Anolis sagrei: one gene and its partners. The protein of the gene in region 3 interacts with the protein of the main gene of each other region in a pairwise test. Links are inferred from orthologs where the notes say so. Each region holds a gene or a part of one and is shown on either strand. Other genes may lie near its edges. The genes, in order: MRPL44, DISC1 and IMMT.

Region 1 (8,246 bases), on a different chromosome or scaffold from region 3:
ACACAGAGATAAGGTAGTACTAAGACCTGATATATCTTTTCTACCGAAGGCGACAAGCAAGTTTCATATGTCGCAGGAAATTATATTACCAGCCTTCTTTCAAGACCCATCTTCTTCTTTAGAGAAGAACTTGCATCTGCTGGATGTACGTAGGGCTCTAGTATATTATATAGATAGAACCAAAGGTTGTAGAAAATCTACTAGGTTATTTTTAAAATACAGAGAGGATTCTGTGGGACTTCCTGTTTCCTCACAGAGGTTTTCAGCATGGATTGTCTCGACCATTAAACTTGCTTATCAAATGTGTAGGAAAGACTTACCTTTGCAGGTTAAGGCGCATTCTACAAGGGCGATGGCCACTTCGACGGCGTTTTTGAAAGGCGTTCCGCTTGACACTATTTGTAGAGCAGCCACTTGGTCCAGACCAACGACTTTTGTGAAACATTACAAGCTGGATGTGCAATCGAAGGCTGATGCAGCGTTTGGTAGAGCGGTGCTTTTTTCGGCTGTGGCATGACGCCCTCCGTCCAGGTTAGCAGCTCGCTAGTCTACCATATATGTGTAAATTGCAGTGACCACGCAGGGAAAATATGGGTTGCTTACCTGTAAACATAGTTTCCCTAGTGGTCACCTGCAAATTTACACAACCCGCCCTTCCTCCCCTCCTGATTGTCATGCCCCAGCTCTTCTGTATGCGATTTTTAGCGACGGAAGAACTGGCCGCGGTCTCTCGGGAGGGCTATTTATAGAGGAGAGGGGGGCGGGAGGGGCTGCTCCAACTGATCTTTTATCTCGTGAACTTTCCGTTGCTGCCGGCGCGAGCGCCGGATATTACCATATATGTGTAAATTTGCAGGTGACCACTAGGGAAACTATGTTTACAGGTAAGCAACCCATATTTTAAAAGTATAACCCAAACAATAGAGAAAGAGGTGTGTGTGGAGGTAGCAAGCTTGAGTTAAACTTGAAAAAAAAACTGCTCTGACATACATATATAAGCTTTGGCTACTATAGGGAAGGATTAACACTCCTGGGGTGTTTCTTTTGCTCTCTGTGCCCCTGTTCTGAAGATTTCGCCGCACTTTTGTGTCACTGTGACAACTGGATTTTGAAGAATTTGACTTTTTGTTGATACAAGGATTGGTAATAAATCTTCAGTGGAGACACGTTTTCCCCATGATAATGACTCTTTCAGGAGTGGATTTTCCTTGTGATGGGTTTGATTTCTCTCACTTCCTGTTGTCTCACCTCTGTTCTTAATTATGAGTTGTTTGTAAGTTGGGTGTTTGTAACTCAGGGACTGCCTGTATTGGCAAACAAGCTATGTGAATTCAGAATCTGATCCTATATGCTCAACAAGGACTTCTCAGATGCACCCTGTGCTTGATGTTAAGTATATTGCTTAACTTTATTTACTGCATGCTAAAATAAGTGATGTGTGAGACATGTGGCTGTACGGTTAAAATCCAGGACTTCCATTGCTTGTATTTGAAAGGGAGGAGAGGAACTTTCTTCTTTTCCAGTACAACAGAAAAGGGATGGAGTGAAAGTAGGCATCCCAAGCAAAAGGATCTATCATATCACCAATCATCTGAAGTATTCATATCTTCTGCCTGGAGGGAGTATAAGGGGCAGAGAAGGTGGGACAGTTTTTAAAGGAGACTCGGGGCCTGATTTTCCCCATAAAACATGATTAGAGCCCAATTTTCCCCATAAGACATGATAGAGGGGAAATCGGGGGGAAAGACCTAAAAAATATAAAAGGAGGCCCTTTGGCATCAACAATGGTATGTTGGGAAAAATGGCAAGACAAACTTCCATTTATTGCTAGACTACCTTCTCTTCCCATGGGGACTGGATTTGAACTGGATTAACTTCATTACGTGATGTCAAAGGCTTTCATGGCTGGAATCACTGGGTTGTAGGTTTTTCCGGGTTATATGGCCATGTTACCCTATAATCCTTACATATCAGCTGTCACATCGGCACTTTTAATCTTGTACCCATTATCCTGGCCCGGCCCACTTTTATAGTGTCTTGATGAATTGTTTATTGCTTGTTGTTTAATATTGCTTTAACTGTTTTTAATTTGTTTTAGGTGTTGTATTGTTATGTTGTGTTTTGAGGCCTTGGCCTTTGTAAGCCGCATTGAGTCCTTCGGGAGATCCTAGCGGGTACAAATAAAGTTAATAATAATAAAATAATAATGTTCTAGAGGCATTTTCTCCTGACGTTTCGCCTGCATCTATGGCAAGCACCCTCAGAGGTAGTGAAGTCTGTTGGAAGTAGGAAAATGGATTTATATATCTGTGGAATGACCAGGGTGAGACAAAGGACTCTTGTCTGCTGGAGCTAGGTGTGAATGTTTCAACTGACCACCTTAATTAGCATTTGATGGCTTGGCAGTGCCTGGGGGAATCTTTTGTGGAGAGGTGATTAGATGTGCCTGATTGTTTACATTGCTATATAATTGTCTACATTGCTATATAATCCAGTTCAAAGCAGATAATCTGGATTTTATATGGCAGTGGAGGAGGGGCCCAAATTGGACAAAATTTGATTAGCCACAATATAAAATACTACATAAACTTGTTGACATGCAGCCCTTACATATTGAAATTAAATGCCATTAGAAAGTAATAACATAAATGATCAGACAACATAAGAGAACCCTGAGAATCCTTCTCTAAGCAGAGGAAATGAATCACCCGGAACAGAAAAGCGGTGGCTCGTGTTTCCGGCCGGCGCCTGTGCGCGGGGCACCTCCTCCGTCGATCTTCTATTGCAGAGCAATGGCGTCCGCTCTGCTACGCCCGCTGCTCTCCGCGGCCACGAGGCGCCTCCCTCTCCACTCTCAGCCGCGCCGGGAGAGCAAGCGATGGGTGCGCGCTTATCTGGAGCAGCAGCGGCACCTGGAGCCCCCGCAGCGCCGGTGAGAGAGGCCTGTCGGCGGGAGAGGGCGGGAAGGGGCCTCCCGAGTGGACGGGGCTTCGGGCCTTCCCTCAGTGTTGGGCATTCAGCAGTTAAAGTGGTGCCTTATGTTAGAATGTTGAGGCTGGCCAATAAGAAACCATATGCAAATTAGTAGGTCGAAATAGCGCATGCATAGGCCAACTTGGGCCTTCCCTCCAGGTCTTTTGGACTTCAACTCCCACAATTCCTAACAGCCGGTAGGCTGTTAGGAATTGTGGGAGTTGAAGTCCAAAAGACCTGGAGGGAAGGCCCAAGTTGGCCCAGATCTTGTCACCTTCAAAATATCAGAGCTGTAAAACATGTTCTTGACTAAACAATGCATGTATTATTATTTGTTAATACTTGCTATTTATCAATGTTTTGCGTATTATGTTTCCTAATAGTGTTGTTAAAGGTAAAGGTTTTCCCTTGACCTTAATTCTAGTCGTGTCCAACTCTCTCCTTTTCTAAGCCAAAGAGCCGGCGTTGTCTGTTGACTGTTTTATTGCTATAATGATTGTTTCATTGCTTATAGATGTATGGTTTTAATTTGATTTATGTTTAATTGTAGTGTATAATTGAAATTGTTTATACTGGCATTGAATTTTGCCATTACTTATGTGTAAACTGCTTTGAGTCCCCCTTGGGGTGAGAAAAGTGGTATAGAAATACTGTAAATAAATAAACATTCACACCTAGCTCTAGCAGAGAAGAGTCCTTTGTCTCACCCTGGTCATGCCACAGATATATAAATCCTTTTGCCTAGTTCCAACAGACCTCACTACCTCTGAGGATGCTTGCCAAAGTGCAGGCGAAACGTCAGGAGAGAATGCCTCTAGACCATGGCCATACAGCCCGAAAAAACCTACAACAACCCAATAAATAAATAATTCTTCGTAGACACCTCCTAGGCCAGCATGACTGCATGGAACACTGTTACCTTCCCACAGAAGTAGTACCTATCAATCTACTCACATTTGCATGCTTTCAAACTGCTAGGTTGGCGTAAGCTGGGGCTAACAGCGGGAGCTCCCCTTGCTCCCTTGACCTTAAGTCTAGTCATGTCTGACTTTTCTGCTTTTCTAACCTGAAGAGCCCCAGCGTTGTTCATAGACATTTCCTAGGTCATGTGGCCAACATGACTGCATGGAACGCTGTTACCATTCCGCAGAAGTGGTACCTATCAATCTACTCACATTTGCATGCTTTCGAACTACTAGGTTGGCACAAGCTAGGGCTAACAGTGGAAGCTCACCCCGCTCCCTGGATTCAAACTGCCAACCTTTCAATCAGGAGCTCAGCAGTTTAACTCGCTGCGCCACCGGGAGCTCCAGTGGTTGTTACCGTATCTAAATAATTTATTTTGTGCATTTCGTACCAAGGACATGCAAATTGTGGACTTTGCAGATATTTGGTTTTTTTCTTTATTAGAATCCTGAGCTCCTCCTAGGGCTAAAATTGTACAGGTATATTAAAACTAAAAGGAGTCCAGAAGTGTTTGGAGTTCCAGAATTGCACTGAATTCACAGTCCTTACTAATATCCACACCAGCTATCCCAAACTTTTTCATTTCAGAGTATGGTTTAGGACAAGAGGGTGGGCTTTTTATAGCTGTTATAATTTAAACCAGTCATGGGCAAACTTTGGTCCTCCAGGTGTTTTGGACTTCAACTCCCACCATTCCTAACAGTCTACTTTAAACAATTGTGAATCAGACATCCATGATGATCTAATGTAGATCATAACAAGATTTGCCAGTAGATCTAGAACTCCCATCTCTCAGCATTATTATTATTAATAATAACAATAATAACTTTATTTGTATCCTGCCCCATCTCCCTAAAGGGACTCAGAGTGGCTTACATGACAACACTGTGCAAAGTGAAATACATTAAATATACACATAATTTAATTTAAAAGAATAAAACACCAAGTGGCAAAAATTACAACAAACAGGGTTAATATAGAACACATTAATTGAAATAAAATAACAATAAAACACAGTAATAAATTGTAATTAAAACAATGATTATGTTGTTGTTTCTATGGTGATCCTAGGGCAAAGCTATCACAGGTTTTTCTTGGCAAAATTTGTTCAGAGGAGGTTGCCTTGGCATTTGTTTGAAACTGAGACAGTATTGCTTCCTCGAGGTTACGCCGGGAGTTTCCATGACTGAGCGGGAATTGAAACCCTCTAGTGCTTAAACCACGATTATACCATGCTGGCTTAAGTTTGCGGCTTTTGTTACATAACACCCAACACATCCGTAATCACACGTGATCATATGCATTTATGCGCTGTACATGTAGGTACAGAAGTGCTCTTAATTCTTCTGTCTATTATGCTAATTTCAGCGATACTTCTTTCGTTTTAGGCTGAGAATATGTTGATGAAAAGAAAAAACTTAATATGGCTGTGCTGGGTGTTATGTTGAAAAAGCAGCATGTTTCTCTGTTTGAATTTCATATATGTCACAACTCCCTGTTTTCTGTCAGCTTGTTAAACATTACAGAGTTTATCCATGCAGAAAAAGAACATTTTTTGGCACATTATGACTTGAAGTAATCCAAAGTGTCATTTGAATTTGATTTTGTGGTTGTTTTAATTTCTGTTTGAAATCCTGTTTTGATTGTATTTATATGTGATTGTTTTGTGTGTAATGATTTAATATTTAATGTATTTATTTATTTATCATGTCAGAGCAAGTTGAGGGTACAGTTATACTTGCAGCATATGACTTGCAGAATGTATTTATATTTTGTTATGTTTATGTTTTGATGTGGCATCGAATTGTGCCAAGAATGAAACTGCTCTCAGTCGGGGGTGAGATAAGACGGGATAGAAATACAGTAAATAAATAAATAAATAAAATATTTATGCACTTCCGTTCTCAAAATATGTTTAATAATGAATTAACTCTTAAGGCTCTGAAAAACTGTGCTCAGCACACATTTTTTTTTGCATTCTCAGATTCTGTCAGAAATAATTAGGAATGTAGCTCTTGCTTTTTAAGTTCAAGTTTAGACTAACTGGTTAGAACAGAGTTTCTCAAACTGTGCTCCCCCAGGTGTTTTAGACTTCATGTCCCACAATTCCTAACAGCCAGTAAGTTGGCTGAGATTTCTGGGAGCTGAATTCCAAAACACGTGGAGGTGTATAGTTTGACAAACACTGAGCCAGAAGGATTCTTGGTTTCTTTCAATAGTCTATCCTGATTATTTTCTGTTTTCTCCTCTGTCATTATATAGATCTGAAAAGCCTAACTGGGATTATCATGCAGAAATACAGGCTTTTAGTCACCGGATACATGAGAAGTTTGCATTGGATCTTCTTAAAACTGCATTCGTTAATCGTTGTTATATTAAACATGAGGAGTCTAGGCGGCAAGCGTTGGGGCTAGAGAAAGAAGCCATTGCTCTTAATCTCAAGGACAACCATGAACTTTATCTGCAAGGGAACTCTTTTTCACGCTTGTACCTCACACAGTGCTTTGAAGAGGCTTATCCAAAAATGCCACCTGCTGGTATTGAGGCTCTTGTTAACTTTCTCACCAGTGAAGAATTAGTGTCCTACTTGGCTCAAAACCTGTCACTACAAGACTTTACGCTCTGTGCAGAATTTCCCGTGCCAACTAATGTGCTTCAGCAGACTTTCTTTGCTGTAATAGGAGCCTTGCTGCAAAGCAGTGGCCCTCAGAGAACAAAGCTCTTTGTCAGGGTAAGTTCTTGTACTGCAAAAAATTGTTATGCCTTGAAGAATGAGTACACATCTAAGGCTAAAGCTCTACGTGCCATAACACACAGGATATAATAAATAATGTGCCATTGTTCATTGTAGAATTCAATTTCACTGCAGCTTTCCTGTCAGCTTTGACTCCATGCATGCAGTTGAAGAAACAGAGCTGGTTGACAGAAACTTTGCCAGAGAAACCATTGCTGCTGTTTAGAAAAATAACATTTAATACAGTACTAGAGTACATTATTCTGAATATTAACATCACTCTTTTGACATTCATGTTTTACATTAAACTTGACCAATAGAGATAGAAAACAAAAAGAGGGAAGGGAGAAATTCAAACAATATAAATGAAGACTGATAAAAACCAATCATATTTCTAAAAAAAATAATGATTTTCTTTAAGTTGACATTTACAGATTACGTATAAATGTGTAGACACATGATCTTCATTTCATTGAAGAAATAATGGTGAATATTTATTTTTCCAGCCTTGGAATAAAAGTTCTTTTGTAGAAGCAAAAGCATGTGGGCTATAATAACATTGTCCCTTAGTGAAATTCCATGTCACAGGAACATAATTTAATAGAATGTATATCTACAACAGTCGAAAGATATTTCTGATCTGAAACTAATACATTTATAACACATCCAGACTTTTAATATGCAAAACTATTTAAGTTCTCAAAAATTAATATACACATATGCCTGAGTATTTGATAGAGATACTTTAAAATTAGAAGATCCCACTGCAAAATTGCAGTGTCTCTGCATCCAATTAAGTTGATAGGATATAGATGGAGCCTAAGAGTTTGTTGGTCCTCTGTCAGTCCCAACCTGATGTCTGGCTTTGTGGAATTAGTACATACGTGTGAAACATGGGATACAGTTGGATAAGTGAACTATTGAATGTTGGAATCTTACCAATTAGAATGAAAAAGAAGCATATATAGCCCAATTGCATGGATCAGTTTGAAATACCTAATATATACCATTTGATTCTACATATCGAATCAAAACACTAACATCGAAATCTTTTTATATACAGGACTTCTTCATTCATCAGCTAATAGGAAAAGAACTCTTTGAGATGTGGAATGTTGTAAACCCCATGGGTTTGTTGATGGAGGAATTGACCAAGAGGAATATATCTGCTCCAGAACCAAGACTAACTAGACAATCAGGAGCTACAACTGCACTGCCCTTATACTTCGTTGGATTGTATTGGTTAGTACAATTTCCAGATAGTTGGGATGATCATTCTGGCTCTTTATGATTGGCTATGCATGATGTAATTATCTTTCAGGCCTCTAGGAACGCCAGTTGATGTCAGAAAATTGTGTGTGTGTGTGTGTGCGTGCGTGCGTGCGTGCGTGCATGTAGAAGTCATGCCTGTATAAATAGACAACATGTATAAATCCAGTCTTTGTGGAGAAAGTGACAAACAGAGACCCTTCAACATCTGTATCCTCTGTGAATGTATATTATACGTGTTAGGATATAGTACAAGAGTGCTACAGTGGTGTGGTGGACTACAACTGGAGACAGGGTTTGTATC
Region 2 (8,246 bases), on a different chromosome or scaffold from region 3:
GTTATATCCTTTTCTAGTTTTTCAGTTCACCTCTTTTTCTGGGTTCTATAATCATAACTTTGATCACTTGGATAAGGACAAAGCAGCAAGACCCTATTTGCATCCCCCAGCCAGATGTGATGTAGAAATTCAGACACTTCCTTCTCTTTTCTGAACAAACATCCCTATTCGCTATTTTGAAGAATGAGGAAATAGTCTTGGCAGACAGGATACCCATCCCCCTTCCCATATGCCAGTCCTAAATCCGTTCTAAATCACCTCTTTCCCAAAACAGAAATTAGCTTTAAAAGGAAAACACAGGGGTGCCGTAATACTGTACTTTTTCCTATGTCCTTGTATGACAGCTTTGAGGGGCCTTGTTGCTGACGCCAACTTATGGCAAGTCTATCACAGGGTTTGATTGGAAAGTTTCAGTTAGAAGGGTTTTCCCATAACTTTCTCTAAGACTGAAGGAATATGATTTGCTCAAGGGCAGCCATTAGATTTCCACAGCTGATCTCCAAGAGTCCTAGAGTGCAAACTTGGGCCCTCCAGGTGCTTTGGACTTCAACTCCCACAATTCCTAACAGCCTCAGGCCCCTTCCTTTTCCCCCTCAGCCACTTAAGGACCTGAGGCTGTTAGGAATTGTGGGAGTTGAAGTCCAAAATACCTGGAGAGCCAAAGTTTGTCCATGACTGATCTAAATTAATGCAGTTTGACACCACCTTAACTGCCATGGCTCATTGCTATGGAATCATGAGAGTTGCCATTTAGTGGGGCACCAGCCCCCTTTGACAGAAACAGCTAAAGATGTTGTAAAACTATAACTTCCATGAGTCCATAGCATTGAGCCATGGCAGTTCAAGTGACATCAAGCTACACTAACTCTGCAGTGTAGATGCAACCATAATCAAGCACTCAGACTGCAATCCCACACTTATGAATATTCTGCTGAATGACACTAGAAATGCTTCTACACTGTAGAATAAATGAACTGACATGTGAGTGTTGCTTAACCTGTAGTAATGAATGAGGATTGTGATCTAGATTCCACTATTAGGCCCAACTATTATAAACCTATTGAATCACTGGTGTTAACTAAGGGCAATTCCACACAGCCATATAACCCAGAATATCAAGGCAGAATAACCCACAATATCTGCTTTGAACTGGAATATCTGAGTCCACACTGCCATATAGCCCAGTCAGAGGCGGCCCTAGGTAATTTTCAATGGTAAGCAAACAGTATTTTGGTGCCCCCCCCCCCAACCATTGATATATATTTTCTGTTTGTCGTGGGAGTTCTGTGTGCCATATTTGGTTCAATTCCATCATTGGTGGAGTTCAGAATGCTCTTTGATTGTAGGTGAGCTATACATCCCAGTAACTACACTTGCCGCACTTGCTCCCTTGCCTGGCCCGCTTTGGGTCCGGAGGCGTGCCTGAAGACCCCGGCGTGTGCACCAAAAGTCACCTCTTCTCCTGACTTTCTCCTCAGCCATTGGGACCGAGAGAGAGAAAGAGAGAGAGAGAGAGAGAGAGGTGGAGATGCCCACCTTTCCTGAAGGTAGGCACAAAAACAAAGGAGGGAGCGGAGGTAGGAGATACCTCCAGCTGGAGGGGCTCTCTCTCTCTCTCTCTTGGTCCCAATGGCTGAAGAGAAAGTCAGGAGAAGAGGTGACTTTTGGTGCGCACGCTGGGGTCTTCAGACACGCCTCCGGACCCGAAGCGGGCCAGGCGCGACGGCTCCGCCCCTTGGACCACCCGTGGATTGGGGAGAGGAGAGGAGGCAGGTGAAGCGCCGGGGGATCGGGAAAGGGAGCCGGTCATGGGGAAGGGATCGAGTGCGGAGAATGATTGAGCGCTGGCTCTGCTCGTGCACCCGGTGGCCAGGTGGAGCAGGAACGAGAGGGGCTAGGCGAGGTTCAAGGGCCCAGCCCCTTTGGGAAGAGGATCGCCCAGCAGCGAGGCAAGAAAGCCGAGGCTCCCCCCGGACTGCTAGGGCTGTTGTGAGCTGAGGGGGCACTCTTCAAGTGGCAGTCGAGGGGCATTTACAGAGGTGCCTCTGTGCCCCTGGCAAAAAAAAGTGTTCTGTGACCGCTTACTTTGCGTAGTGGACGGGCCGCCCCTGAGCCCAGTTCAAAACAGATAATGTGGGATGGAAGGGAGCCATAGAGTGTTTGCATTATTTCTGCTCAAACTGGGACTAGCAGCTGAATGTAGACCAATACAGACACTTCCCAAGTTGCAAACAACATGGGTTCTGTAGATTTGTTCTTAAGTTGAATTTGCATGTAAATCAAAACAGGTACATTTGTAAGTGTAGCTCCAACCAAAAATATATATGGGTTGCTCTGAGGTTTCCTGGCTGTATGTCTATGTTCCATAAGCATTGTCTCCTGATGTTTTGTCCACATCTATGGCATGGCATCCTCAGAGGTTGTGAGATCTGTTGGAAATAGGCAAGTGAGGTTTATACATCTGTGGAATGTCCAGGGTGGGAGAAAGAACTCTTGTCTGTTTGAGGCAAGTGTGAATATTGCAATAGACCACGTTTGTTAGCACTGAATGGACTTGCTGCTTCAAAGCCAGGCTGCTTCCTGCCTGGGGGAATGCTTTGTTGGGAGGTGTTAGCTGATCCTGATTGTTTCATGTCTTGTTTTCATGTCATTCAAGATAGAATGCTTCTGGAACATGGCCATACACCTCGGAAAAATCACAGCAACCCAGTGGTTCCAGCCATGAAAGTCTTCAACAAAACAAATATATATACGTGTTAGCTCTGGATGGCATAGGGAAGGGTGAACACTCTGTGTTGTTAGTTTTGCTGTCTGTACCCATTCAGAAGATTTCACCTCACATTCTGTCCCTGTGATAACTGAACTGTGAACATTTTGGCTTGTTGTGGAACCAAGGATTGGTGATAAAGCTTCAGTGGAGACCCCTTTCCCCCATGATAACTCTTCCAGGAGTGAATTTCCCTTCCAAAGGGTAGGTTTCTCTCACTTCCTGTGGTCACACCCCTATTCTTAACTATGAGTCTTTTGTAAGTTGGATGTTTGTAACTCAGGGACTATCTGAGCTAAATTAGAAATCTCAGGATTCCATGGGATGTTGCCATGGCAATAAAGTGGAATCATAGTGCTATAATTGCATAGCATGAATGTGCCCCCAGATTGAAGTTATTCCATGACCGATGAATATCTATCACAGCAACACAAGCCTGGATAGCCTTTATCAACATTTTTAGCCTAGAAGAGTATAGATATACAGATATAGTCTGTAAATACAATTAAAACTGCAGTATATGGTCAGTGTAGATACTGGCTAGATGTATGCTGCCATATAATGCAATTTAACTGCATTGATCTGGATTTTAGGGCAGTGTAGAATCTAGTCCAATGCTGTCAAATTCCAGTGAAGATCCAGCCTCACATAATGTAGTAAAATTGCACCATATGAATTATACTGACCATATAATGCAATTTCAAACTGCATTATATCACAATGTTGAATTATGCATGGGCAAACTTGGGCCTTTTGGACTTCAACTCCCACCAATCCTAACAGGAAAGGACCTGAGGCTGTTAGGAATGGTGGAAGTCCAAAAGCCCTGGAGGGAGGGCCCAAGTTTGCCCATGCCTGTTGTGACAGCAGGGACCTCTATGGGACATCTTCTGGGCCCTTGGGTGTGTCTACGCTGTAGAATTAATGCAGTTCAACAGCAGTTGAACTGCTCTGGGATGCCGACGTTATAGTTTTACAAGGCCTTGAGCCTTCTTGGCCACAGAGCGCTTCATCAAACCACGACTCCCATGAGTTCATAGCAGTGAGTTGAAAATGTTGGGAGTGGAGATGCCTATTCCCGCTCCCGGCCAGGAGGGGGCGCGCGAGAGGAAGGAGGCTTCCCGGGGTGGCGGCGAAACCCCTACCAGAAGGGCTCGTGCTTCCCCGGGCAAAGGAGAGGCGGCGCGCGGCCGTCCCGGGGAAACTCCTTTGTTTGCTGCCTGTTGGCCATCGCCACTCCCACCCGCTTCTGCTCCCTCCCGAGAAGCCCCCACTCCTCACCGGGGTCTCGCTCCGTGCCGCCCGAAGCCGAGGGGTCGCCGCTGCTCCACATCCTCGGGTGGCTGCTTCCCCTCCCCTCCTTCCCCGCCCCCAGACCGTCGGAAGGACCCAAAGGCCGCCCCGTTTGGCTTGGGAAAGAGGCGGGAGGGACGCCTCTTCTCTCCATCCCTCCCTCCCTCGGGCCTCCCAGGCGCTTCCCTCCCTTGTATCCGCACTAGAGAATTAATGCGCTTCGGCCCCGCTTGAACCGGCATGGCTCAGGGCTGTTGGAATGTTGGCAGTTCACTTTCACAGGGTCTTTCTTCAGCCATCGCGGTCAAAGAGCGCTGGGGCCTTGCGCCAAATTGCATCGCCCAGGATGCCATAGCATTTGGCCAGCTAAAGGACCTCATCGCACTAGAGAATGAATCCACTTTAAATCTGGTTGCTGCCTCTTGCAGAATTCTGGGTTTTGTAATTTAGGGAGGAGCCTTTAACAGCATCACTAAACTACAAACCCCAGAATTCTGCAAGAGGAGGCAGCAACCAAATTCATTCTCTAGTGTGATGAAGTACAAAGTGATGCCAAGCTGCATCAATTCTGTTACAATGAATGAGAAACTCCCTCCTGGGCACACACAAGTGTGGAAGGGCTGGAGGCACTGAACAGGCTGCGCTCTAGTAACAGGGGATTCTTACTTCAGATTCTTACTCAGACGGTCTCTCTTTATGTGCCTTCAAGTCACCTGCTAACTTACAGAGACAATGAAGGAATACTCAGAAGGTTTTCCCCAGTCCGTTACTTACAAATATTGTGTGCAGCACCTGGTATCTGGCACAACCTGGGGATCACAACTAGACAGTGAAGACATCTGCCCTTGCGCTTTGCTATGCTGCTGAATATCTATGCCCAATGTGGAACTCATCTCGCCATGCTAAAACAGTGGGTGTGGCTCTTAATGAGACATGCCGCATTATTACAGGGTGTCTACACCATACACCACTGCAGAAATTATAGTGTTTCCCTGCATCCATCGGGAAGTAGTGGCCATTAATGAAAGGACCAAGGCATTGACATTTCCGGCCCATGTTCTGTCCAGATATCAGCAAGCATGCCAACGTCTTAAATCAAGAAACAGCTTCCTAAGATCTACAAAGATACTCGCAGGAACACCCCAGCAAGGAAGAATCCAAAAGTGGCAGGCAAAAACACAGAAATGTGCCACCACACAAATCTCTGTTGTGACTGCCTTCCATCTGGAAATCTATGTCAACGTGAAACACCACGTGGATGAAGAATAGGTCTTCACCATCATTTATGGGAGACAGTAATACTCGGCCACAAGCAGGCCCGTAGCCAGGATTTCGTTTCGGGGGGAGGGTGATTTTTGGGGGGGGGGGTTCGGGGGGGCTGAGTTTCGGGGGGGGGCTGAGTCTGAGTGAAAGAGGGTCTAACCTAGCAAACCTTTTGTATCATTACCCCAATACCCCCATGCATATGGGATATATTGAGAATGGTGATCAGATCATGATATGAATAAACAACAGTTTAAATAATGCACCAGTAAGGCCTTTTCGCGAACCACCATGAGAATTTCGGGGGGGGGGGGGCTGAAGCCCCTCAAGCCCCCCCCCCCCCCAGCTACATGCCTGGCCACAAGTGATCACTCTTATACCATATGCACAACAGACCTACAAGCACGACTCTGCTTAGCTGATGTCAGCTAGATATGACTATTATGCAAAACCATTCTGTATAAGGAGTGCAATTTTCTTTGTGGATGCAGCAAGTTTTTATGTCACCAGGATTCCTGGATCCTGCAAGATTTTAATCCCCATTGTACAATGATGGTTATAATTAGCGTTATGGGAAATTTCTGGGGACATGCTCAACCACACTTATTATTAAGTGCTACTCCCTAGGAATTAAGTCTTTATACTGAGAGTATGTAACAGAGTTTTATGCTTGGCAAAACAATCAAGACTGTTTTCCTCTTAGGCTGCCTTGTATTCACTATAACAGGCTTAACCGGAAGTTCTCTCACACACGTACATCACTTGATTCTCTATTGTTTGGAGACTCAAGTGGGAAAACATGCATGTATCAATGAGTTCTCAAAGCACCCAAAGGGCACTTCTGTCTTTACAGAAGGAGAGGATTGTTATTTGGAAGAGAAGTAAATATGTTCAAATTGACTTCTTAGAAGAAGAAAAAAACCAAGTCCTTAATCTGACTCATTGACTTCAGGGAATGCTATCAGACCTGTGAAAACCATTTCTATGTATGTTGCAAAAGCTGGATAGTAAAGAAATCTGATAGGAAGATATTCTACTCATTTGAAATGTGGTGCTTGAGAAGAGTTTGGATACTGTGGATTGCTATAAAAAGCAATAAATGGGTCCTAGAGCAAATCAAGTCTGAACTCTCCCTAGAAGCCAACATGGCTAAACCGAGATGTTGGCCATATTTTGAGAAGACATGACTCACTAGAAAAGGCAATTGTGCTTGGTGAGGTAGAAGGCAGCAGGAAAAGAGGAGGACTACAATTCCAGATGGGTGGGCTCAATCAAGGAAGCCATGACTCTGAGTCTGCAAGATCTGAGCAGGGTAACTTGGAGGTTCATCGTTCATGGGGTTTGATGGCAGTTAACAACAATAATATCGATTCCAAAAGAGCCACTGTCATGAAGTGGTTCAACTCTCAAGCTAGATCTCCAGGGGACCCCTTACCCATGGAAAAATACAGGCACACTTGGACAAGTTGAACTCTTTCCATCATGAGCACTAAGGCAAATCTTGCAAAGAAAACAATATAGCATAATTGTCATAAGATGGGAGTTGATTTGAAGACAGTTACTTAAAAACCTCAACACATACTGCATTTTCCAATAATACTTTAAGCTTCACCTTATTTCATCCATTCTGGAGCCATAATGGCTTTATCTTACTAAACGGTTAATAGTCCTAAAATGCTAGGTGACATCAGCATTGTGTCTGTTTAATACAGTCATAATCCTACATAGTCTATACATGTAGAAAGCATAGTTATTGTAACTGAGTGGTTGCCTCTCTCTCTCTCTCTCTCTCTCTCTTGCTTTGCAAGTATTGCCTTTTTGTTATTTGTTTATTGTATTGTTTGTAATGTAGAATGCATAGTTATTGTAACTGAAATTAAATGCAGTGGTTGCCTCTCAAAAATTAATGAACAAAAAGAAAACACTCAGTGATGCCTGAATGTCATGACATCATAGAACTTGTCCCAACTCTTTTAAAGACAAGCATGCCATCAGGAACAACAACATCTTCTCTATCAGAAGCTATTATTATTATTCCCCTCTTTATCTCCCCAAAGGGGATGCAAAGTGGCTTGACATAAAAGCATTAGTATACAATTTAAAATATAAAAAAATGTGAGCATTAAAGTAGAATTAAACACATATGCCACTAAAAAAATTCATAGTTAAAAACATCAAAAAAACCACAGCATCCCCTTACTAGATCTTAAAGACTTTTATCTTTAAAAGCCTGCAGGAATAAAAAGGTTTTAGCTTGCCACCGGAAGGACAGCAGGCAAGGGGCCATTCTGGCTTCCCTGGGTAGAGAGGTCCAGAGTCGAGGGGAAGGAAGGCCCTCTCTCTTGTTCCCACCAACTGAGCTTGAGATGAAGGTGGGACCGAGAGAAGAGCCTCTCCTGAAGATCTCAGTGCCCGAGCAGATTCGTACAAGGAGATGTGGTCAGCCAAATAGCATGGACCTGACCGTCTAGGGCAGTGGTTCCTAACCTGTGGTATGTGGACCACCAGTTGCAATAAAAATAGTCCATGTTTCCTAAAGTCAGAAAAAAGATATCGATCCAAATATGCAACTTGCATTTTGACTTCTTAAGGTGAAGGTTAAGTCTAGTCGTGTCTGACTCTGGGGGGTGGTGCTCATCTTTACTTCTAAGTCGAAGAGCCGATGTTTTCTGTAGACACCTTCAAGGTCATGTGGCCGGCATGACTGCATGGAGCACCATTACCTTCCCACAGAAGCGGTACCTATTAATCCACTTACATTTGCATGCTTCTGAACTGCTTTGTTGGCAAAAGCTGGGAGCTCACCCCGCTCCCCAGATTCGAACCACCAACCTTTCAGTCAGCAAGTTCAGCAGCTCAGTGGTTTAACCCACTGTGCCACCAGGGGGTCCTACTTATTAGACTTCTGTAAATTTATTTTCTG
Region 3 (8,246 bases):
AATAATATTACAGTATAGTGGTATAGTACAATATAGTAATATATAATACTAATATTGTGCTATGCTAATAACATAATATATTGTATGTACATATAACTTTTAAGCCGGTCTGAGTCCCCTTTGGGGTGAGAAGGATGGCATATAAATGTCGTAAATAAATACATGTGTTACTGTATGACTTCAAGCCATTTCCGACATATTGCAATACTAACACCTGATTTTCTGGGCAAGATTTGTTAGGGGATTGATTGGGATTGCTTTCCTCAGAGACTGGGAGTCTGTTTTGCATGCTATAACTCTAAGATCTTTCAACTTTCAAACAGCAAAAATGAGGCACCCCATCATCCTGACAGAGCTGATGAAATATCACATTTATGTGTTTGTATTACCTTTTGGCTTTCATAATCATTTCTTTTGATTTGTAGTGAATATATTTTTCTGTAATCGTTCTTCTGCCTGAGTGAAGATTGTAATTCTGTTCTAACTATAAACCGTTTGAATATCTCTGATTTTCTAAGGAAAAGGGGAGATGCCCAAACTTTTTATTAAGCAATATGTCAAAACCACAAGTAGCTTTCTTTAGAAGTCTGAATTTTATAACAGGCCTTAAACTCAGATTTTCCATGATTTAGAAACATAAACTTAGATTTTCCATAATTTAGAAACACTGAAAAATGCCAAATGAACATGCATCCAAAACTTTAGCTTTTACTCTCAAAGCTTGGGCGTTTTAAGAAACAGACTGTAACAGGTTTTTGAAGTATGTAATTTAGTATATATGCTAAATTGTTATTTAATATCTTGCTTTTTCAGGCTCAAGAAAAAAGTCTGAGACAGCACTATATTCTCTGCATGTTGAGATGTATTTGAAGTCTTCATTTCTCCATTCACTCTCCACACTTCTACTGAACACTTTCCAGTACAAGATCCATTTGTTACAGTTCTGTGCATTCAAGTCAGTTCCAACTGATGGCAACCTCATTATATGAATTTCTTTGCAGACTTTATTCTGACAATGTTTTGTCATCGTCTTCCTCTTAGGCTATGAGGGTATGACTTGCACAGCATTACCCAGTTTCCATAGCTGGTGGGGATACAGCTTCTAGCCTACTGGAGAATAAGTCCAGCATGCAGATCAATACAACATATTATAATCCATATAATAAATTTATTTTCAATATAACATATGTTATAAACATTTGAGAATTATGTATTAGTTTTAAATAGATTCTCAATTATTTTGAATTTACAGGAAGTAGTAAAAACCACTAGTAAAGGCAGTGGCATTTATTATTATTATTATTATTATTATTATTATTTAATTATAAGGAAACGTGCACAGAATTGCACTTTCAATCTGTGTCAGAATGTGGGCATATTAACAAGCAAATAATTGGGTTTCTAGCAGAAATGTTGGTTTTTCTCTTTCAAACTTTCCAGAGGAACAGCATAAACAAAGTCAAATTGATGTAATTTAAGATATCACAACCAAAATAATTTAAATTTAATCTTTCTTCAGAAATCCAAAATAATTAACACAGTGAGGATACACTCATATTGATGTTGTGCTCAGAAGTCCCCCAGACTTCAGAAATAATTACTTCCAAGTATGTGTATATTGCTGTTGTGTGCCTTCAAGTTGTTTGCAACTTATGGAAACCCTAATGGTAGCATATCACAGGGTTTTCTGAGCAATATATGTCAGAACTGGTTTGCTTTTGCCTTCTTCTGCGGCTGAGGATCCTTCCATACAGCCCTATATCCCAGAATATTAAGGCAGAAAATCCCACTATATCTGCTTTGAACTGGAATATATGGCAGTGTGGACTCAGATAGCCCAGGACCCCTCCACACAGCCCTATATCCCAGACTATCAAGGCAGAAAATCCCACTATGTCCGCTTTGAACTGGGCTATCTGAGTCCACACTCAGATAATGTGGGATTTTCTGCCTTGATATTCTGAGATATAGGGCTATGTGGAAGGGCCCTAGTTCAAAGGAGATATTGTGAGATATTCCGCCTTGATATTCTGGGATATAGGCCTGTGTGGAAGGGCCCTGAGATAGTGATTTGCCCAAAATTATACAGTGGGTTTTCATGGGATTCACACCCTGGTCATAATAGTGGTAGGTTAAGGCCCCTTCCACATAGCCCTATATCCCAGGATCTGATCCCAGATTATCTTCTTGTCCCAGATTATCTGGCAGTGGATACCTATATAATTCAGTTTTAAAATAGATAATCTGGGATCATGTCATGGGATATAGGGCTATGTGGAAGGGACCTAACACTCAAGCTAAACATGCTGACTCATACACACAGAGACACATAATTTCATTCTTACAGAACAGACCTATATATCAGGGTTTCAGAAGTATGGTCCTCAAATTTTCTTGACTCCCTCAGATCATGCTTTTTCTAGTAAAAAAATGCAGTCTCTTTTTCAAGCCCACTGGGAATAACATTTTAAAAAGGAAGGCCAGAAAAAGAGGTGGGTGGGTCCCTGCTCTGTTCAATGTTTCAAAAACGTTTTTTCAAAACCAAAAGATATCTAGCCATTGCTATTTTTGTTTCCTTGGGGCCCTATTTGGCACTCCAACCAACCTCATGAAGGAGTCAGAGCAGAAAACTAACCCCGGGCCTATCAAAATTCATTTTCTCAAGAAGTTATATTCCACTAAAGCACCGTTTCTCAACCTGGGGGTCGGGACCCCTGGGAGGGTCGCAAGGGGGTGTCAGGGGGGTCGCCAAAGACCATAAGAAAACACAGTATTTTCATTGGACATGGGGATTCTGTGTGAAAAGTTTGGCCCAATTCTATCGTTGGTGGGGTTCAGAATGCTCTTTGATTGTAGGTGAACTATAAATCCCAGCAACTACCACTTCCAAATGTCAAGGTCTATTTTCCCCAAACTCCACAAGTGTTCACGTTTGGGCATATTGCGTATCCGTGCCAAATTTGGTCCAGATTCATTATTTATTTGAGTCCACAGTGCTCTATGGATATAAGTGAACTACAACTCCAAAACTCAAGGTCAATGCCCACCAAACCCTTCCAGTATTTTCTGTTGGTCATGGGAGTTCTGTGTGCCAAGTTTGGTTCAATTCCATTGTTGATGGAGTTCAGAATGCTCTTTGATTGTAGATGAACTATAAATCCTAGTGACTACAACTCCCAAAGGACCAAATCAATCCCACCCAACCTCCCCACCAGTACTAAAATTTGGGTGTATTGGGTATTTGTGCTAAATTTGGTCTAATGAATGGAAATACATCCTGCATATCAGATAGTTACACTATAATCTATATAAATAAAAATGTAATGTTCGTTTGTGATATTCACAGAACTCAAAAACCACTGGGGGAATTGACACCAAATTTGGACACAAGACACCTAACAACCCAATGTATGTCTTTCACTAAAAAAAATGATTTTGTCATTTGGGAGTTGTAGTTGCTGGGATTTATAGTTCACCTACAATCAAAGAGCATTCTGAACCCCACCAACAATGGAATTGAACCAAACTTGGCACACAGTTCTCCTACAACCAACAGAAAATACTGGAAGGGTTTGGTGGGCAGTGTCCTTTGGTTTTGGAGTTGTAGTTCACCTACATCCAGAGAGAACTGTGGACTCAAACAATGATGGAGATAGACCAAACTTGGCACGAATACTCAATATTTATTTATTTATTTTATTTTATTTCAAAGTTTTGTATACCGACCTTCTCACCTCATTGAGGGACTCAGCCCGGTTTCCAACCATAAAAACACATACAATCAGTAAAATATCATAGTTCACAATTACAGTAACACATTTAAAATAACAATATATTTAAAACTACGGTGGTCAATCGTCATATCAAAATCAAATATACATCATCTTCCATCCAAAATCCTAGGGTGTTGTCTCATTCATCAAAAGCCTGTCTCCACAACCACGTCTTCACCCGTTTCCTAAATGTCAGGATAGATGGGGCGGTTCTGACCTCCGGTGGGAGAGAGTTCCAGAGTCGCGGGGCCACCACTGAGAAGGCCCTGTCCCTCGTCCCCACCAGGCGGACCTGTGCGGCCAGTGGGACCGAGAGCAGGGCCTCTCCAGACGATCTTAATAATCTTGATGGTTTGTAAGGGAGAATATGTTCGGAGAGGTAAACAGGGCCGGAGTCGTTTATGCCCAAATGTGAACACCGGCAAAGTTTGGGGGAAATAGACCTTGACATTTGGGAGTGGTAGTTGATGGGATTTATAGTTCACCTACAATAAGAGCAGTGATAGATTGGGCCAAACTTCCCATACAGAACCCCCATGACCAACAGAAAATACTGTGGTTTCTGATGGTCTTTGGTGACCCCTCTGACACCCTCTCATGACCCCCCCCCCAGGGGTCCGGACCCCTAAGTTGAGAAACACGGAAATCAGGGATTATTATTATTATTATTATTATTATGAGGAACTGTATTAAGAAGCATTAGGAAGGTTGAGAAACACTGGTCCAGAGTAAATGGTAAGTGCTTGGAAACCACTTCATATTCTGGGACACAAGGTTGTGTGGACGGGGCCTTGGATAAACAGAAAACTTGGGAGCGGTTCCTGAGATATAGGGCCTGGCTGGAAGGGCCCTGCAACCAGAGGGTTGTTTGGGGCCTGCCCAGCTCCCTCACGCGAGAACCAAGAGGCAGAGGGAAAGGCGTGCTCTTCCTCCGCTTTAGAGGTGACACCAAGGAGCCCGCCGGCTGCCCTTCTTCTTCCGGTGACCCTTAACGAACGCGTGACTGAGGCGTTCTCACGAGTAATTGACCACTCACAAGGGCGACCCCGCCCTCGCGAGAAAAAAACAACAAACACACCACCAGGCTGGGGAGGCTCCGCGAGGCGACATCCCTCCCCGCAAGGCATGACGGGACTTGGAGGCTGCCTTGAAAAAAGCCACCGCGCGCGAGGCGCCCCTTCCCGCTTCTCCCCTCAGGGGGAGGGCCCTTCCCCCGCTCCGCCGCCCACCCTTGTCCGCCTCACCCTCCGCGGCGGTCCCTCCAGGCCTCACCTGAGCCGCGGTGCTCCCCGCGCGCTGACAGGCCCGCAGCATGGTCTCTCCTCGGCTGAAGGAAGGAAGGAGACCAAGAGGAGCTCGACCCTCAGCTCGTCATAGGCCGCCGCCGCCGCCTTCTCCCCCCTCCTCCCCTCAGCGCGCAACCGCTGCCCCCGCCCCGAGAGGCGGAGCTTGTGTCCACCAATCAGGAAAGAAAGAAGGTGCGTATGCAAATAATCCGCTGTGCCTACGACAGCAAATCGAGGCTGCCAATCCGCACAAGGAAACCTAGAACGAGGAAACGGGAAAGAGTAATCTATTTGCACCCTCTTCCGTTTTTGGCTGCATTTTGACCCTCGCCGGCTGCCGTAGCGAAAAGAAAAGGTGGGCGGGAAGAACTGAAAAAGGAAGATGGCGGCCGTCGGAGCGTTGCGGAGGTTCTCAGGTCAGAGACCGACGGCCCAAAGTACCACATTATCTGCTTTGAACTGGGATATATAGCAGTTTGGACTCAGAAAACCCGGTTCAAAACAGATATTGTGGGATTTTATGCCTTGATGTTCTTTTTTTTTCTGTCGTGTCAGGAGTGACTTGAGAAACTGCAAGTCACTTCTGGTGTGAGATAATTGGCCGTCTGCAAGGACGTTGCCCAAGGGACGCCCGGATGACTTTGATGTTTTTATCATCCTTGTGGGAGGCTTCTCTCATGTTCCCGCATGAGGAGCTGGAGCTGATAGAGGGAGCTCATCCGCCTCTCCCCGGATTCAAACCTGCGACCTGTCGGGTCTTCAGTCCTGCCCGCACAGGGGTTTAACCCACTGCGCCACTGATGTTCTGAATTATATGGCTGTGTGGGAGGCGATCAAATAATCCAGGATCTTCCAGACAGGCCCTATATCCCAGGATCTGATACCAGGTTTTCTGCCTTAAACTGGATCATATGTCCCCACTGATAAATAATCCGGTATAAACAGAAAAACTGGGATCATATCCTGGGATATAGGGGATTTTCTGCCTTGATTATCTGTGTTATATGGCTGTGTGGAAGATTCCTGAGAGGGAATAAGGCAGAACTGTTATGGAGGGCCTTCTCGGTGATGGCCCCCCGCCTCTGGAACTCACTTCCCAAGGATATCAGCCATGCCCCAACTCTAGCAGTCTTTAAGAGCCGTAGCAAACTACTGGAAGCGAGAGCGAGCTTGTGCTCGAGCTCGCTCCGAAGAGCTCGCTCCCCCCCCCCCCCCCAGGCTGCTCTCTCTCTTGCTAGTGTGCCTGTTTTCCCTTGCTAGAGAAGCGATGCGAGTGTACTCTCGCAGTTGGCAGAATTCAACTGTGAGCGTACGCTCGCATCCCTGCCCTCTGCAATGGAAAACAGGCACGCTAGCAAGAGAGAGAGCAGCCTCGGGGGAAAAAAGGCAGGGCTTCGAAGCAAGCCCGAGCACAAGCTTCCTGTAGTTTGCTCGCAACGCTGCCCTAGCAAAGGGAAATAGGCGGAGAAAGAGGCGGAGCATCGCTGGTGCTGGCTTACTTTGCTCTCGCAAAATCCTAATTTGCTACGGCTCTAAGAGGAGCCTGAAAACGTGGTTGTTCCAGTGTGCCTTCCCAGAATAAGGAAAACTCTCACCAATATGCCCTCAAAATGCACTTCGCCACTGATTTAGGATTGACTGCGTTCCCTCAGCTCTCTTTGAAAACTCTACACCAGTTATATCCTACCTTAGAATCATAGAATCAAAGACTTGGAAGAGACTTCATGGGCCATCCAGTCCAACCCCCTGCCGAGAAGCAGGAATATTGCATTCAAAGCACACCTGACAGATGGCCATCCAGCCTCTGTTTAAAAGCTTCCAAAGAAGCTTTTAAACAGCTTCCAAAGAAGCTTTTAAACACCACACTCTGGGGCAGAGAGTTCCACTTCTGAACGGCTCTCACAGTCAGGAAGTTCTTCCTCATGTTCAGATGGAATCTCCTTTCTTGTAGTTTGAAGCCATTGTTCCGTGTCCTAGTCTCCAAGGAAGCAGAAAACAAGCTTGCTCCCTCCTCCCTGTGGCTTCCTCTCACGTATTTATACATGGCTGTCATGTCTCCTCTCAGCCTTCTCTTCTTCAGGCTAAACATTTCAGCATTATTTTTCATACCCAGCATTATTTTGTTCATGCCCAGCATTATTTTTCAAAATTTTAACTATTACATTTGGCCCGGCCATAGGTTTTTAAATGCTTGTGTGTTACTGTTTACTGTTTATTGTTTAATTTGTTTATGTGATTTATATTAATTGTATTGTATTGATTGTTTTTGTTATTGCTTTTGTTTATTGATGCACTGCAGGCTTGGCCTCATGTAAGCCACACAGAGTCCCTTGGGGAGATTATTTATTTATCGTGTCAGTGCAACCAGTTGATTATATTACATTTCTAACAGAACAAAGCAAACAAACAGACAAAATACAAAATTTGTGAGTTTGGTAGTTGATTAAATGTCCTTTGACCAGTATCTGGCCACTTGGAGTGCTTCTGGTGTTGCTGCAAGAAGGTCCTCCATTGTGCATGTGGAAGGGCTCAGGTTGCATTGCAGCAGGTGGTCAGTGGTTTGTTCTTCTCCGCACTCGCATGTCGAGGATTCCACTTTGTGGCCCCATTTCTGAAGGTTGGCTCTGCATCTCGTGGTGCCAGAGCGCAGTCTGTTCAGCGCCTTCCAAGTTGCCCAGTCCTCTGTGTGCCCAGGGGGGAGTCTCTCATCTGGTATCACCCACGGATTGAGGTTCTGGGTTTGAGCCTGTCACTTTTGGACTCTTGCTTGCTGAGGTGTTCCAGCGAGTGTCTCTGTAGATCTTAGAAAACTATTTCTTGATTTAAGTCGTTGACGTGCTGGCTGATACCCAAACAGGGGATGAGTTGGAGATGTCTCTGCCTTGGTCCTTTCACTATTGGCTGCTACTTCCCAGTGGATGTCAGGTGGGGAATACCGGCTAAGCAGTGTAATTTCTCCAGTGGTGTAGGGCTCAGATAACCCAGTTCAAAGCAGATAATGTGGGATTTTCTGCCTTGATATTCTGGGATATAGAGCTGTGTGGAAGGGCCCTGGATTCAAATGTAAGGGCCTTTCTACACTACCATATAATCCAGAATTTCAAGGCAGATAATCTACATTATGTGCTTTGAACTGGATTATCTGAATGTACATTGCCATATAATCCAGTTCAAAACAGGTAATCTG

The links.
Region 1: the proteins of IMMT (region 3) and MRPL44 interact in a two-hybrid assay, tested with the Homo sapiens proteins (2 studies listed by BioGRID and IntAct). The link is inferred for Anolis sagrei from reciprocal best matches to the Homo sapiens genes IMMT and MRPL44.
Region 2: the proteins of IMMT (region 3) and DISC1 interact in binary tests that used the Homo sapiens proteins (3 or more experiments, as listed by UniProt). The link is inferred for Anolis sagrei from reciprocal best matches to the Homo sapiens genes IMMT and DISC1.

What each region holds. Positions count from the first base shown.
Region 1 is NC_090023.1:235,577,641-235,585,886, forward strand, and holds the start of MRPL44 (large ribosomal subunit protein mL44), read left to right. Parts: upstream 1-2,761; 5' UTR 2,762-2,792; coding exon 2,793-2,932; intron 2,933-6,201; coding exon 6,202-6,670; intron 6,671-7,736; coding exon 7,737-7,915; intron 7,916-8,246. UniProt on the Homo sapiens protein: Component of the 39S subunit of mitochondrial ribosome. May have a function in the assembly/stability of nascent mitochondrial polypeptides exiting the ribosome.
Region 2 is NC_090021.1:60,760,557-60,768,802, forward strand, and holds the start of DISC1 (disrupted in schizophrenia 1 protein), read right to left. Parts: upstream 4,174-8,246; 5' UTR 4,101-4,173; coding exon 4,049-4,100; intron 1-4,048. UniProt on the Homo sapiens protein: Involved in the regulation of multiple aspects of embryonic and adult neurogenesis. Required for neural progenitor proliferation in the ventrical/subventrical zone during embryonic brain development and in the adult dentate gyrus of the hippocampus.
Region 3 is NC_090026.1:52,321,957-52,330,202, forward strand, and holds the start of IMMT (MICOS complex subunit MIC60), read right to left. Parts: upstream 5,182-8,246; 5' UTR 5,088-5,181; coding exon 5,046-5,087; intron 1-5,045. Other genes in the region: MRPL35 (large ribosomal subunit protein bL35m), read left to right, coding at 5,442-5,475. UniProt on the Homo sapiens protein: Component of the MICOS complex, a large protein complex of the mitochondrial inner membrane that plays crucial roles in the maintenance of crista junctions, inner membrane architecture, and formation of contact sites to the outer membrane.